Linked DNA regions of Rattus norvegicus. The protein of the gene in region 1 interacts with the protein of each later gene in a pairwise test. Links are inferred from orthologs where the notes say so. Each region holds a gene or a part of one and is shown on either strand. Other genes may lie near its edges.

The links. The genes of interacting proteins can lie anywhere in the genome.
Region 2: the proteins of Tubgcp4 (region 1) and Gfap interact in a two-hybrid assay, tested with the Homo sapiens proteins (2 studies listed by BioGRID and IntAct). The two-hybrid records come from large-scale screens. The link is inferred for Rattus norvegicus from reciprocal best matches to the Homo sapiens genes TUBGCP4 and GFAP.
Region 3: the proteins of Tubgcp4 (region 1) and Sdsl interact in a two-hybrid assay, tested with the Homo sapiens proteins (2 studies listed by BioGRID and IntAct). The two-hybrid records come from large-scale screens. The link is inferred for Rattus norvegicus from reciprocal best matches to the Homo sapiens genes TUBGCP4 and SDSL.
Region 4: the proteins of Tubgcp4 (region 1) and Lztr1 interact in binary tests that used the Homo sapiens proteins (3 or more experiments, as listed by UniProt). The link is inferred for Rattus norvegicus from reciprocal best matches to the Homo sapiens genes TUBGCP4 and LZTR1.

What each region holds. Positions count from the first base shown.
Region 1 is NC_086021.1:128,608,874-128,612,383, reverse strand, and holds part of Tubgcp4 (gamma-tubulin complex component 4), read right to left. Parts: intron 2,774-3,510; coding exon 2,649-2,773; intron 1-2,648. UniProt on the Homo sapiens protein: Component of the gamma-tubulin ring complex (gTuRC) which mediates microtubule nucleation.
Region 2 is NC_086028.1:88,358,860-88,363,101, reverse strand, and holds the start of Gfap (glial fibrillary acidic protein), read left to right. Parts: upstream 1-1,440; 5' UTR 1,441-1,441; coding exon 1,442-1,896; intron 1,897-2,745; coding exon 2,746-2,806; intron 2,807-2,967; coding exon 2,968-3,063; intron 3,064-3,828; coding exon 3,829-3,990; intron 3,991-4,242.
Region 3 is NC_086030.1:41,758,810-41,763,053, forward strand, and holds the start of Sdsl (serine dehydratase-like), read left to right. Parts: upstream 1-1,442; 5' UTR 1,443-1,683; intron 1,684-4,244. UniProt on the Homo sapiens protein: Catalyzes the pyridoxal-phosphate-dependent dehydrative deamination of L-threonine and L-serine to ammonia and alpha-ketobutyrate and pyruvate, respectively. Also exhibits racemase activity towards L-glutamate and D-glutamate.
Region 4 is NC_086029.1:97,005,050-97,009,313, forward strand, and holds the start of Lztr1 (leucine-zipper-like transcriptional regulator 1), read right to left. Parts: upstream 2,803-4,264; 5' UTR 2,765-2,802; coding exon 2,574-2,764; intron 2,169-2,573; coding exon 2,106-2,168; intron 343-2,105; coding exon 286-342; intron 1-285. UniProt on the Homo sapiens protein: Substrate-specific adapter of a BCR (BTB-CUL3-RBX1) E3 ubiquitin-protein ligase complex that mediates ubiquitination of Ras (K-Ras/KRAS, N-Ras/NRAS and H-Ras/HRAS).

The sequences.
Region 1 (3,510 bases):
TAACTTATCTATGCATTGAAATAATGTGATTTTTCCATTTATAAATGTTTTAAATTAAGGAGGAGAAGCTGATTATAACTAGCTTATTAATCTTAATAAAAGCCTAACAAGACTAAATAATGAGAAAAACTGGGGCTGGTGAGATGGCTCAGTGATGAAAAATCTTGCTAAGCAAGCATAAGGACCTGAGTTCAGATCTCCAGCATGTATGTAAAAGCTGAGTGCAGTGGCTCATGTCCAGAACCCAATGTTGGGAGACAGCAAGACAGGGAGATGCTGGTGCTCACTGGCCAGCCAGGCTAGCCAAAAGAAGGTATCTGAAACTATTCTCAGGTGGGTGTGCATGGACACACACACACACACACACACACACACACACACACACACACACACACACACTAACACACACACACTCTTTGTAACATAAGTATACATACCACACTCTTCCTTCCTTCCTTCCTTCCTCCCTCCCTCCCTCCCTCCCTCCCTCTCTCTTTCTTTCTTCCTTATTTATTTATTTATTTATTTATTTATTTATTTATTTATTTATTTTAGACAGGGTTTCTTTGTGTAGCTCTGGCCATTTGCCTTGTAGACCAAACTGGCCTCAAACTCAGAGATCCACTTGCCTCTGCCTCTCCAATGCTACCACTGACAGGCCATAAAATAAATTTTAAAAGACAGAATTTAAGTAAACAAAACATAATATAGACAAACAAGTATTTTAAAAAATTAAATCGGGGCTGGGGATTTAGCTCAGTGGTAGAGTGCTTGCCTGGGAAGCGCAAGGCCCTGGGTTCGGTCCCCAGCTCCGAAAAAAAAGAACCAAAAAAAAAAAAAAAAAAAAACTGAAATAGTCAAGTTCCACAGTCACAGAATTATCAAAATTGTTACAAGAAGAAATTTTATGGTAATTTCATTTTAAAACATACTCAACCAGTAAAGTTTTTCTTCCTGAGAAAGTCTAGCTTAGATCACTTCTCATTAAGTTCAAACTTTCAGTAGCCAATTACTGATATAGACTGTTTTTACAAATAATAAGGAAAGAACAAAAGCAGCTACCTAGCCCATTTTATAAGGCTTATGTAAAAACTACCCAGGAATAAGACAGAGAAGACAGACAATCGTCTTTCTTAACTAATGCACACAGATGTAAAAACTTTATGAAAGAGAAATGGATTCAAGGCAAGGATGCTCTCTTTCACTAACACAAGGGGCAACTGGTAAAACTGACATCACTTAGGATAAAAAAATCGGTTAACTAGGAAGAGAATACTTTGTTAAACTTCCTTCTAGAAGCCTACAGTAAATATCATAGTAATGCATGAACTCTGCATCTCTAAGAGTCAGGAAATCAGAAATGTCCAATATTACCTCTATTGTTTGACACAATTTATGCAAACAAAGCCCACTTGTCTACTGTTTCAATAAAGAGCCTAGAACAATGTATGTTTACACACTGGGAGAAATGTTGTAAAACATTATTTTCAGGGGCGGTCATCTTTAGTACATAAAAAAAGTATCAAGTCCCAGAACTAAGTTAGGTAACCAGGGACTCAACTCAAGAGGTGGTTCAGATGTAAGAGCACTGGGGTTGGGGGTTTAGCTCAGTGGTAGAGCACTTGCCTAGCAAGCGCAAGGCCCTGGGTTCGGTCCCCAGCTCCGAAAAAAAAAACCAAAAAAAAACCCAAACAAACAAACAAACAAACAAAAACAGATGTAAGAGCCCCAACTGCTCTTCCAGAGGTCCTGAGTTCAATTCCCAGCAACCACATGGTGACTCACAACCATCTGTAATGAATCTGATGACTCTTCTGGTGTGTCTGAAGACAGCTACAGTGTGCTTATATACATAAAATAAACATATAAATTAAAAGTTAGTTACGCAGAGTTAAGTGGAATGTGTAAGATTAGCCAGCAATAAATTAGCAATACTATGTCTCCATGTAAATAATAAACAACTGAAGATACAAGCGTTTTTCTCTTATATTATCCAAAATTTTAAAACCTTATTGTCAAAGTAGTGACTATTACATAGAAAAACAAAAATCATAAGCTTACACCTTGAAGTTCACAACGGACATGGCAATCACCATAAGCACCCTCAAGTCAAGAAATACTAGTACCCAGAATCCTACTCCTCCCTTCCCACTTGTCTCAAGGGCCAGGACCACCATCCTGTGCTTGCTTTCCTTCTAAGATTACTGTGTGCTAGAGAAATACATGGTTGATACTAAAACACACACAGGCACAGGCAGATACACACACAAAACTTCTTAGCACCCAAATTCATGAGTGTTAGGAATTAAACTGAGACTTCCCCTTTAATCAACTAATTAAAACACACCAGTGGAAGGGCTAGTTCCATTTCTACCTGAAAAGTAGATGTACTTTTACTTATTTATTTTCTGTGCGTGAGGGTGTCTGCCTTGTGCCTTTGGAACTCAGAAGAGGGCACTGGATCCCCTGAAGCGGGTTACAAATGGTTGAAAGCCACTATGTGGGTCCTGGGAATTGAACCTAAGTCTTAACCACCGAGCACCTCTCCAGCCCCATCCATCTTTCTGTCCTGTCCCTGTCTCTCCTTCGTGCCCTTTAGTGCTCTACAAACTCATCTCTTCTGGAAGAATATGAGACAGAAGACAGACCTCAGCCACAGTGCTACGAATCCCATCTACCACCTGCTCAAAGTCCACCAGGCTGAAGAGTGGCTGCTGCTTGAGCCGGTGCAGCTCGGCAGCAAAAGTGTCCTCCTGGTTTTTCAAGATGGACCCTGTGGAGTATGACGACACGATCATCAGACAGGAGTCAGGGTAGTCAGGGTAGTCAGGGTAGACAGGGTAGTCAGGGTAGAAAGGGTAGACAGGTTAGTCAGGGTAGACAGGGTAGACAGGGTAGTCAGGGTAGACAGGGTAGTCAGGGTAGACAGGAGTCAGGATAGTCAGGGTAGACAGGGTAGTCAGGGTAGACAGGAGTCAGGATAGTCAGGGTAGACAGGGTAGACAGGGTAGTCAGGGTAGTCAGGGTAGACAGGAGTCAGAATAGTCAGGGTAGACAGGGTAGTCAGGGTAGACAGGGTAGTCAGGGTAGACAGGGTAGACAGGGTAGACAGAGTAGTCAGGGTAGACAGGGTAGTCAGGGTAGTCAGGGTAGACAGGGTAGTCAGGGTAGACAGGAGTCAGGATAGTCAGGGTAGACAGGGTAGACAGGGTAGTCAGGGTAGTCAGGGTAGACAGGAGTCAGAATAGTCAGGGTAGACAGGGTAGTCAGGGTAGACAGGGTAGTCAGGGTAGACAGGGTAGACAGAGTAGTCAGGGTAGACAGGGTAGACAGGGTAGACAGGGTAGTCAGGGTAGTCAGGGTAGACAGGGTAGTCAGGGTAGTCAGGGTAGTCAGGGTAGACAGGGTAGTCAGGGTAGTCAGGGTAGTCAGGGTAGACAGGGTAGTCAGGGTAGACAGGGTAGTCAGGGTAGTCAGGGTAGTCAGGGTAGACAGGGTAGTCAGGGTAGA
Region 2 (4,242 bases), on another chromosome or scaffold:
CAATGCTTTCCGAGAAGTCCATTGAGCTGGGAGCTTGTACTGCACCAAGGGCTGACATCCTGGCAGCCAGGGATGAAAGCAGCCCATGGGGCTACCCTTGCCGTATGCCTCACTGGCGGCAGAGAACAAGGCTCTATTCAGCAAATACCCTGGAGTAGACACCAGAAGTCCAAGCATGGGCAGAGGAAGGCAGGCGTTGGGGGCTGGAGGGGAGCAGAGCTGTCTGTTTTCCAGAAGCCCAAGGGTACAGATGGCGCCTGGGGGGGAACTGAGTGGAGGGGATAGATGGGCCTGAGATCTCAAACATCAACAGCCTCCTCCCCACCAACGATGAAGGTGGAGGTTGGTTTCCCGGACCTACATATCCCCCAGAGACCTGGTGTATGAAAATTCAAAGGAGGTAAGTCTCCTGAGAGAACGGGGGGGCTCACAAATGAAGCCAGCTGTCTTACCCTATCAGGACCTACGTGCATTCCTTCTGTCCTGCCCCCTAAACACACAGCCAGAGGCTCAAATTGATTCTGGAGTCACAAAGGGGGCTTGAAACCCCAGCCCCCAACTCCTGAACTCCAGGAATGAGAAGATAGTACTGGAGGGGTTCAGAGGAGAGGGCTCTGCACATCTGTTGAGAATGGGGGTCCCAGGAGAGTGTAATTTAGGCTGATCCCGGAGGAAGGGAATAGGTTCTTCAAGATCCTAGCATCTCACAGGCCCACAGAGAAGTTCAGAGTTGGGGCAGCCCTGGCTTACAGGCTCTAAGAACTGGAGGCAGTTTACCCAACCCAGCTGTGTGCATGCTGTCCCTCTCTCTGTCTCTGTCTGTCTCTCTCTGTCTCTGTCTCTCTGTGTGTGTGTGTGTGTGCTCACACACGTGTGTGTTTACCACACAAATGTTCATGTGTGTGTACATACATGTGTTGAGGCCAGAGGTCAACCTCAGACACTGTTGACTTGGTTGTCTGAGATAACATTTCCCCCTGGGACCTGAGATTTGCCAATTAGTGTGACCCAGGAAGCCTACTTATTTTCATTCCTCAGCACTGCAGTTACAAGTATGCACTGTCAAACCAGGCCTTTTTTTTTTTTTTTCCAAACCAGGCCTTTTGTATTCGCTCTGTGGCTAGAACTTGGGTCTCCATGCTTGACAGGCAAGCGATTTATGGACTAAGCTGTTTCCTCGGCCCTCTCTTGACCCATTTACCAGAAATGGGGTTTCCTTGATCAATGGTGAAGCCAGGCTGGTGTTCCCAGGAAACCCTTGACTCTGGGTACAGTGACCTTGGTGGGGTGAGAAGAGTTCTCTCCATAGCTGGGCTGGGGCCCAGCTCCACCCCCTCAGGCTATTCAATGGGGTGCTGCCAGGAAGTCAGGGGCAGATCCAGTCCAGCCCGTCCCTCAATAAAGGCCCTGACATCCCAGGAGCCAGCAGAAGCAGGGCAAGATGGAGCGGAGACGTATCACCTCTGCACGCCGCTCCTATGCCTCCTCCGAGACGATGGTCAGGGGCCATGGTCCTACCAGACACCTGGGTACCATTCCGCGCCTCTCCCTGTCTCGAATGACGCCTCCACTCCCTGCCAGGGTAGACTTCTCCCTGGCCGGGGCGCTCAATGCCGGCTTCAAAGAGACTCGGGCCAGCGAGCGTGCGGAGATGATGGAGCTCAATGACCGCTTTGCTAGCTACATCGAGAAGGTCCGCTTCCTGGAACAGCAAAACAAGGCGCTGGCAGCTGAGCTGAACCAGCTTCGAGCCAAGGAGCCCACCAAACTGGCTGACGTTTACCAGGCAGAACTTCGGGAGCTGCGGCTGCGTCTGGACCAGCTTACTACCAACAGTGCCCGGCTGGAGGTGGAGAGGGACAATCTCACACAGGACCTCGGCACCCTGAGGCAGAAGTGAGAAGGGGAATAGGAAAAATGGCTAGTGAGCAGAGAGACTGAATTGAGAGAGGAGCCTGGAAGGAAGGGTACTGCCTCCCCCTAAGGAGAGCCTCTTGGCTGCTGTGTTTCAAAAGGGAGAGCTGTCTTTGTTCCCTAATATGATCAGAATAGCCAGGAAGAGACTGAAAACTTCAGGGATCAGATTCCCAGAGAGAGCTGAGCATTCTGGGTACTTCCACCAAGCTGAGGGAGGCTGTGTGTGGGTAGCCAGGGTACAAGCAGGCAGGTGCTTCAGTCACTGGGCACTATGAATGGCCAGAGAGGTTTGCGTCCACAAGGAGGCTCTTGGTCTCTGAAATATAAGAAATGCAAGAAAGAGCAGGCAGGCCTGGATGCCGGGCCCAGATGGCTGTCTACGACCTGCTTTTGACCCTGCTCAAGTCATTTTGATTGGTTGTAGCTGTAAAGGAGAGGTCATGATACAATCTGTCCTAAAAGATGGTAACCGAGGTCAAACTCTGGGGCGTGGTGCTTTGCTGGGTGGTGGGTATTCACGTGTCCCTCTGGTGCGGGAGGGGCACTGGTGTCAGTGACAGTGGGCGCACGGTGGTGGATGCGTCTCTGGGAACAAGAGCAGGTGCACCAACCCCGATAAGGCACCTCAGTAATGAGTTAAGGAGGAAGCTCTTATCTGTTCACGCTCAGCCAAGGCCTCTGTGTAGGAACCTGCCGTTGCTTACTCTTCCTGCCATTCTACCGATCCTGTGGGATCCGTTTGTGACAGTCCCCTCCCTCTGGAGGTTCGGATAGGGATCCAAGAGTCCTCAGGAAAACCTAAAGCCTGTACTGTGTTCCCTGTCCCAGGCTCCAAGATGAAACCAACCTGAGGCTGGAGGCGGAGAACAACCTGGCTGTGTACAGACAGGTCAGAGAGATGAGAGGGAGGGTGGGGGAGGGGAGGCGGAGGGCCGCCCACCAAACACCGCAGTTGTCTGCTTCCAAGATCCCCACAAGGAGGGGGAAGACAAAGTTGGAAATTTTAGTAGCTAGGACCCTGGGGTCAAAGAGATTCTCTCCCTGCTCCAGGAGGCGGATGAAGCCACCTTGGCTCGTGTGGATCTGGAGAGGAAGGTTGAGTCGCTGGAGGAGGAGATCCAGTTCTTGAGGAAGATCCATGAGGAGGTGAGGCCAGGGAGGGGGAGGGAGGGGCCTTACGAGAAACTGCAGGTGATAGACAGAGACGCTCACAGAGGGAAACGGAGAAACCAAATTTCAGGAAGAAAACAAAAACGAGAGAAAGAGTGAAGACAGAGACTAAGGGAGATGTGTCCAGTATTTACTACCCGTGAAAACACACGCAGGCCTTCCGCCGCCATGTTCTGAGAAGCACAGAACCGAGTCTTGAGTTTCTCCTTCACATCAGCTCTGCGAGCCTTATCACTACCTCCTTCACAACTGTGGGGACCTTGAGGCCCAGAGAGGTTAAAACACACCCCCAAAGTCACACAGCTGAGAACCCCTCTGAGGACCTGTCACAGTGGTATGCATCTCAGCCTGTGAGTGGTAGACGTGGAACGTTTGAACTGTTCAAGGCCAATTTCAGCCACACAGAAAAACTGAGACCAGCCACGCACGCACGCACATCTATTCTCTGACCTCAGAGCCTGGCTGCAAGACATATTCATTCATGCCTGGTTCCTGACTATGCAGTCCTGAGAGGAAGGCACCCTCAAATTCTCATTCCATGCCCATTAGACGCTTTACTTTTACTTTTTGACAGGATATCACTGTGTAGCCTTGGCTGGCCTGGAACATGCACTTCCTCCAGTAACATCTGCCTCATTTCCGTGAGCCATTGCTATAAATGGCAGACAGAGGCGTGAGTCTGGGAGAGTGCAGCCTAGGCCTGAGGCTTGAGCCTCAATACCCCTTCTTTTACCTTATTAGGAAGTTCGAGAACTCCAGGAGCAGCTGGCCCAGCAGCAGGTCCACGTGGAGATGGATGTGGCCAAGCCAGACCTCACAGCGGCTCTGAGAGAGATTCGCACTCAGTACGAGGCAGTGGCCACCAGTAACATGCAAGAAACAGAAGAGTGGTATCGGTCCAAGGTACCTGTGGGGCAGCTTGCCTCTTCCAGGAAGTCTTCCTGCTCCCTCCTGAAGAATAAAGGAAGGAAGGAAGCTAGGGAAGGGTAACCTATCTAGGTGTCCAGTCTTGCCCAGAGAGAGGAGACTTGCCCAAAACCACGCAAGCATTATTACTTCCCAAACTACTCTTGGTTACTGCTATTATAAGTAATATCAGTAATAGTTAATAATAGCTAAAAGGCTCACCAGTTTGCTCAGTGTCACACAGCTCCT
Region 3 (4,244 bases), on another chromosome or scaffold:
TAGAGGCTTGTGGTAGAGGGCTTGTCCGATGTGCAAGAGCCTTGGGGTTTGCTATGGGTATACCATAACCATATAATAAATGTAGATTCTCGTCTACAGCTGAGGTCCTCCACCAGGAAGCCTTCTCCTTCTTACAGGCGCTATGGAGACCCTGCCTTCTGTCCTTTTGTGTCCCCAGGGCCTCATGCAAGACTGGCCGCTTGTCAGGGATGGGGGAGGGGTTAATGTGAGGGCAGAGGTGAGTTGGGTGGGGTCCTAGTCCACCTATGTGGAGCTAAGCAGCCCCACCTCACTCCAGGTAGCCGGGGGTTAATCATCAATCCTAGGAGGGGAGAGGTCATGAGTCCCCAAGGAAGACACAGGACACCTGTGTTGCCTGGTCCTTACTGAATCTTGCCTCTCATTTTATATCTGGGGAAACTGAGGCTCAGGACACACTCCAGGGTTTCAGCCTTGTCCAGTAAATAGGTGGGGACAGAAGGGCCACAAGAGTCTGATCGTGGAGCTTGGAGCACAGATTTGATTAGACTAAATAGGTAGAAAGTCCAGACACCTTCCTCCTTCCACTTCATAATGCCAAGATTAGAGACACATTACCTCTTCTGGCCCTTTTCCACGGGTGCTGGAGAGCCAAACTTGGGTTCTCCCACATGCCATCTCCCCAGTCTCTCCTCAGTCCCTCTGTGACCCCAGAACTCAGCATGGCTTCCCACTCCCCGCCAATCCCTTCCCCAACCTCCCACCGGCTCCCACCTCCTATAGCAGGGGCACACAGAGGGCTGGGAGAAGGCAGGGGACACTCTATCTTGTTTGAGGTTAAAGGTCTCAGGACTTGGTGGGTGGTAGGTGTCTGGTAAATATTTATTTATTGAGCGCCTGAAGAAGTGAACAGCCGTTGCTCTGAACAGTAGATAACAGCCAGGCTTCCTCCGCTGGCTGTGAAATGACAGGGATGAGAACATGACGTGAGAGTCCCTCTTCCCTATCCAGACTGGAAGACAGGACAGCCGCTGGTTCAGCGGCTTCCTTCCTTCCTTCCTTCCTTCCTTCCTTCCTTCCTTCCTTCCTTCCTTCCTTCTTTCCTTCCTTCCCTTCTTTTTTCAACAGGGTCTCTCTATGTAGCCCCAACTGTCCTGGAACTTTCTGTTATCTACCAGCTTGGTCTTGAACTCACCGAGATCCATTTGCCTCTATCTCCCAAGTACTGGCATTAAAGACGTGTGCTACCGTGCCTGGCCTGCCTCTTTGTTTTCTTGTCTCAAACATAAGCTGACTCCAGTGTGGACCAGGGCAAGTGGCCTGACCCAGCAACAGCTCTGAACCCAAAGTCAGACCTGGGGTGCCTGTGTTACGAAGGGGTCCGAGATGAGGGGTTCACCTACCTCTTGCTGGCCAGTCCCATGGATGTATGCTTCCTGAACCTCCATTTCTCCACCTACCATATGAGCACGGGTCATTCATGAGCCGTGAGCTGCATGAGGAAGGCAGAGAGGGTTGCATATCCCCACGAGTTCATCTTGATCACTTTTTGTTGTGAGTCCTCACCAGGACCCCAGAATCAAGAGCTGTCCCTTTAACAAGGAGGAGGGGCCAGGGCCTGATAGCGGAAGCTGATCTGGTAGCCTGTGAGTTCAGATTGATCCTGGCTGGGCTGTGCTGGTCTTGGACTGTCTTTCGGGGAAGGTAAGGGAGGCATTGTGGGAGTGGCTGGGGACCGTGGGACAGTGTGTTGGGCAGTGAGTGGGCGTGAGTGTGGTTACTAGCCTGGTGGCCCTGATTACTATCTTGGCAAGCCCTGTGGACCCTGAGAGTAGAGAGCAGATTGTGTTGGCTGGAGAGGCTGTCAGTTAGTTTGGCTTTCTAACCCTTTTCTTGATTTAGCTGCTGTAGGCCACTAAATGGCCCACAGGGAAAGGATCCCAGGATGGTCAGGTTCAGAGTGAGGGCAGGACCAGATGAGCACTGCTTACCAGTGAGTTCTAGCAAGAAAGTCACAGGGCTTCAGCTATTCAAGCCCTTTTACGTGGTTGCTGCAGAGCTGAACTTGGGCTCTCCCTGCTCAGCTCCCGCACCTGCTTCAGTGGTGAGAGGTGGGGTCCCAGGGTCTTGGGCTCAGCTGGGTCATCACCCTGTGACAGTGGTGAAGTGGCTGTCCTCAGGAGGAGCAGAGAGGCCTGGGGACAGAGCCAAGCATGTTAGCACTTTTTCTTTGCTGCTTTTGTTTGCTCGGGACAGGGCTTCTCTGTGCGGCCCTGGCTGTCCTGGAACTCACTCTATAGACCAGGCTGGCCTCAAACTCACAGGGAACCACTGGGATTGAAGGTGTGTGCCACCACCACCACCTGGCGAGTTTCCGTTCTTACGGATAATTGTCAGTGAAGTACCAAATGGCCTCATTTTGAATGGATGAATGAATGAATGAATGAATGAATGAATGAAGGTTATGATGGTGATGCTGATGGTGATGATGATATCAACAGTTCAGTAGCTAAGACGACACATGGTGTGGAAGCCCACACCTGCGTTTTGAACTCTGAACCTGTGGCCTCGTGCACCAACCCCCCTGGATGAGTAGTTACAGAACGAAGTTAAATACAGGCCTCTGTCAGGGTTTCTCAGTGCCTTCTGAGATAAGAAGGAAGGAGCTGGGCATGGTGCCCAGCTCCCAGCAAGTCCCACACAACAGTTAGCCCTTATCAAGTAATGCAGGGAACATTGGACACCTCCACTTCACGGTTGAACTCATCATCTCAAGGACCCTGTGCTGTCCAGGGCTGTCTGGTGTGTGGCGAGTTTCATAATTAGCTCATTCTTCTCTCTCTGGTCCAAGAGGCCTTTCCTGACTCCATACCCAAAAGGTTTTAAGAAAAGATCTATTTATTTATTTAATGTATGTGAGCACACTGTGGGTTCCTTCAAAAACAACAGACGAGGGCATCGGATCCCATCACAGATGGTTGTGAGCCACCATGTGGTTGCTGGGACTTGAACTCAGGACCTCTGGAAGAGCAGTCAGTGCTCTTAACCACCGAGCCATCTCTCCAGCCCCAAAGGGGACTCTTCTATTCACCCCTAACACTCACAGTTTCCTACTATTTTGTTGGTCTGTAGACATCATCAAACCACAAGTCAGCTCAGAGGTAGGTATTTGTCTCCCCACTAAGCCATTCCTGGGTCCCAATCCCCAGCCTGGACCTTGACCATGCTCTCTAGATGCACACAGTAGGGTGTGCCATCTGCACTGGGAGAGGGTTCCCATGAGAGAACTTCTCTGGAGAACTCAGTCGGGAGCATGCCAGTAGGCGCCATCAATTTGTCTGCACCACAGTCTGTGAGTTGGGGTATGTATTTGTTCCCATTTTACAGATGAGGGAACGGGCGCGGAGTGGTTGAGGCACACACTTGGGTCACATGACCCTTTTTTACTCTGGTCTCTGCTTAACCCCCAAAACTACAATCTAGGATTGCAAGCCTGAGATGAGAGCCAGGTCAGGCTATGAAAGGTGTCTTAGGGTTTCTATTGCTATAATAAACACCATGAGCAAAAGCAACTTGGGAAGGAAAGGGTCTGTCTGGCTTACACTTCCACATCACTGTTCATCACTGAAGGAAGTCAGGGCAGGACTCAATCAGGGCAGGAACCTGGAGGCAGGAGCTGATGCAGAGGCCATGGAGGGGTGCTGCTTACTGGCTTGCTCCCCATGGCTTGCCCAGCCTGCTTTCTTATAGAACCCAGGACTCTGGGGTTGGAGAGATGGCTCAGCAGTTAAGAGCATTGACTTTTCTTCCAGAATTCAATTCCCAGCAACCACATGGTGGCTCGCAACTGTCTGTAATGGGATCTGATGCTCTCTTGTGGTGTCTGAAGGCAGCTACAGTGTACACACACACACACACACACACACACACACACACACACACACACACACACACACCTTTAATAGAAATAGAGCCCAGGACCACTAGCCTAGGGATGGAATTGCCAACAGTGGGCTGGACCATCGCACATCAATCACCTATGAAGAAAATACACCAAGGGCTTTCTTTCCCACAGTCCAGTCTTTTAGGGTGAGCTTCTCAGTCCCTCTTCAAAAATGGCTCTAGCTTGTGTCAAGTGACATAAAACTAGCCAGTACAGGAATCTGGAGACCGGGTACAGCTCATAGGCCCCTTACCCTGTGAGAAGTGCTGAAGGAGATGGGCCTGTGTTGTCTTTGCCTTGTCTGGGGAGTTCCAGGGTCATC
Region 4 (4,264 bases), on another chromosome or scaffold:
CCACAGCAGCTCCTGGCCCAGGACATTCTGGTGACTGAAGGCCCCTCCCAAGTCAGAAACTACTTACCACCAACTAGACCAGACAGCCTATAGCTCACAGGAGCTGGGATAACTTAAGACATGCATTCTCACAGAGAGCCATGAGAAGGGAAGCCATCCCAGGCTCTCATCTGTTATATTTCTCCCTGGACCTCCATGATGAGCTGACTCTATCAGCCAGTGAATCTGGTCCAGTGATGCTGCTCTCCAGGACAGGCAGAGTCCTGAAGCCCAGGGGCCACCCACCTGCACCAGGAGCAATCCTTCACGTCGAACCGCAGGAGATCATTGAGCATCGTCTTCCTGAAAGGCAGTCAGAGAGAGAGAGCTGCAGCAGCCAGGATATTGCAAGGTGTTACCTCACCAGGATCTTTAAGATGGGAGAGGGCATCCACTTAGGATTGGAGGCAGCAAGAAGGACCTGACTCACTGACCTGTCAGACAACTTGTCAATGTCCACAGCTCAAAGTTAGTGACTAGGTAGGGGCAACTAGGGCTCTCACACAGACAAGGCCAGCCTGATCGCACCACCAGCACCCCACTCAAGGGCCCAGAGCTGGAGTCCTCATTCGCAGCTCGCCCAGCCCCGAGAAGTCCTATCCTGCACTGAACCCTTCCTTCCAAGGCTGCCCTACAATGACAACATTCTGTCTCAAACAATGGTGGAGACCTGCATGCTTTTCCCTCGGCTGCCATCTGACATAACAACTGTATCAAAAGTAATTCCACTGCTCACTGGGCCAGCTTGCATTTAATATGCAAGTTGGGCATATTACCAACTTGTTAATGTGGAAGAAAGGAGAACCAACAGGAGCTGAGGCACTCCCTCCAGGGCCAGGCTTTTGCAGGGTATCTCTTTGGTGTTGACCCCAAAACCTAACAGTTTCCCCTAAAACCAGGAGACTACAGTCTGTCTGAGTCAGTTTGATAAGGAAGCCCCCACTGATGTAACCCTGAAGGATTTAAGTTAACTGACCAGGCCCCATCTCCACTGCCAGGTTTCCTTGCTCTTAGCTTCTAATACCAAAGTTGCTACTCATCTTTCCATTCTTAATGGAGGACACCCTGATTTATCCTAAGTCACAGGCAAACAGATGTGTAACTGACTTTCTCTACCTTTTCTTTTGAAACTGCATACTGAAAGAAAGCATTTCTGCTTATTACCAACCAGTTGTCTACCAGCTCCAGAAGAAGCTGAGGACAGTGGTCCTGACATCCTCACTACCCTATGCTAGACACCAGTCTTTTTTGGTGTATGAATTCTTACTAAGGCTCGTCCTTTTCTTTTACTCCGTAAATGGGTACATCTGGACACTGATGTAGGGAACTGAGTATGAAAACAGATCACAGCCAACACCAGGGGCAAGTGGCACAGGAAGAGGTAAGAGGACACAAGGCCTCATCCGTGAGGACATTAGAAGGGAGACGGAAGTGTACAAGGGCTGGGTAGCGAGGGTTGGGGACAATCCAAATACAAGGCCACCAGAGAGACAGGACAGCACTAACAAGGAGGCCACCCCTCCTATTAGGACTGGTCTTTACACAGAGAAGATGGGGACATTACAGGGCTGTGAACTGAGGAGCACGCTCTGACATGCAGTTGTACATGAATCCCCAACTGCTCTTGGAGAGAGACTGCGGATGTGAGCCAAGTTTGCATGTCCTAATAGAGAGAGTCCTGAAACCTCACTGCCTCTAGGTCAGCCGCCTCATGTAATCTACAGGACCAAGGCTGTAGTGCCAGGTTCTAGGCCCAAGAGGAAGGAAAGAAAAAAGTGACAGGCAGGGATAGCAACAAGAGCACACGTGTTTCTTCCAAAGCTATATCTCCTCACTAAAACAAGGGCATTTATTCCCACGTACTGAGCACGTGCTGCCATTTGAGTGATGGGTGAAAGGGCTTTAAGGGTAGGATCTTCCTCACCATAACATGGGAATCAGGTACAAAGCACCACACACATGGGGAAACAGAGGCTCACAAGGCAGGGCTACTAACTCCCATTCTCAGACAACAGGTCTGTCTCTCTGTCATCATCCCCTGCCACCATCAAAACAGGCAAACTTACCCATTATCTCCGCCAAACACATAGATGGCATCCTTATACGCCACGACTGTGTGTTTGCTGCGCCTAGAAAAAGATAAAAGGGGTGAAGAGTGGTGAGACTAGGACTCTTCTGGCTGGCACCCAAGAAATGAGACTACACATCTCTGCTGCCACCTAAGTTTGGATAAAGCCTCCCAACCGCTAAGATCTATAGAGATCCTTCAGTTTCTTCAGACAGCAAGGACGCCTGACACACCGGAGACTTCCCACTCATACCTCACAGCTCAGGGACCCAAACAGGATCCTCAGAAACACAGGTCTGGTACCCTACCTAGGGTCACTATGGTGTTACTCCCTGGGAACCCAGCCTTGGAATGACCAATCCATACTCCAAGACATCACAAGGGATCTCTCCCCTAGAGCCCGTCCTAAAACTTCAGCTCTCGTCCCTACTACCAGTGCCTTCAGGATCCCCTGTACACTGCATACCGAGCGCCTACGAATTCGTCGCAGGGCGGGAGGCGCCGCCAGCGATGCACAGTTTCGAAGGGTCCAAAGTTGAGCGTCAGGTACTCGACACTGTCTGAGCAGCTGTGGTCAAAGTCCACGCTCGGAGCCACCTTGGAGCTCACCCCTCCTGTCAAGGCCCCGGGCCCAGTGGGGCCTCCGGAGCCTGCCATCCCTGGTTCAGGCCGAATAGGCCACCAGGTTGCAGGACTCACGGCCACCGCCCGGGCCAAGTCAAAGGACCACACTTCCCAGAGGGCCCTGCGCCCCTGGTGTAGCACTTCCGGCCAGCTTGTCCGCCCTCCCGACAAACCTAGCGCTCCCCGCGACGCGGCGGGTTGTCGAGGAACCTGGTAGCCAGGCTCCTCGCATTATCATGTATCGATACGTCACATTCTGGAAAGCATTTTTGGCCAAGTCTCGGCTTGGGTTTCCCCTTTCAGGAAACGCAGTCTGGCTATAGTCAGCCACTAACATTCTCTAGGCAGCGGCGAGCTACACGCTCCCGGCATGCCTTGTAGTCGGGCTTTGCCATCTCCCGGAAGCCCCCCCACCCCGCCCTCCTCCAGGATGAGGTTTCCGACTTGCAGGCGAGCGGCTCAACTGTCCAACACCTTCTGCTTATGTCCCCCAACCGCCCTCCCTCTGTCCCCCTCTCCCTCCGTCCTCTCTGCGATGGGCTTTGAACCCCAGGACTTGATGGGCATGCACTCTGCCACTAGGCTACAGCACAATCGGTGGTTTTTTTAAGTTGTAGTCTATTGCCAGCTGAGTCGCCTGTGAAATGATGATTCAGGAAGTTCAGGCAAAAGGAACACATGTAGTCGTGAAATGGATATAAAGTTAATTAGTTAATTGGTCTAGTTTTAACTTTTTTTGTAAGAGCTTATAAAAAAGAGCTTATAAAAGCCAATGGCTGTCCTGACTACAAAAAAGTTGATATATAGAGTGGGACTGGATAGGTTTTTGGGTGACTACTGTAATCCAACAGAGTATATTTGTGAGTTTATAACAATGAAGTGATTTTCGATTTTTGTTTTTTCCAGACAGGGTTTCTTTGTGTAGCTCTGGCTGTCCTGGAACTAGCTCTGTAGACCAGGCTGGCCTTGAATTCGGAGATCTGCCTGCCTCTGCCTCCCAGGGGCTGAGATTAAAGGCATGTGCCACCACCTCCTGGCTGTGATTAATAATAATTATTATTATTATCACTATTATTATACCAGCTTAGCTTGCTGTGGGCAGTATGGAGTCTGCAGGACCCAGCTCCTGTCTCCCTTAAGTGGACAAATACAAAAGCTGCCTCTGGCTTCTGAAGCTTTTTAAAAACAAAAGATTTCATGTAGTCCAGGATGGCCTGAAACTTCTGACCTTCCTACCTCTGCCTGAGTGCTGCTATTACAGATGTGTCACATCATGCCTAGCTGTTAAGTGTTGGCCCAATTATACTGGGACACAGATCTGCTGATATATGTGTTTTAATTTTAAGGTAATGTTGAAGGGGCTTGCTGGGAAAACAGTCCTAACAGAGGAAGCAGAGACAGAGCCTGTCCTGCCTCTAAAACCAGCTGTCAGTGACAGCTGAGGCCTTCGGAACGGATCATCTTCTGGAGGCAGTAGTAGCCTCTCTGGAGGTGAGGCAGACAGTTGAAGGCAAGCCTTGGAAGACTCAGATT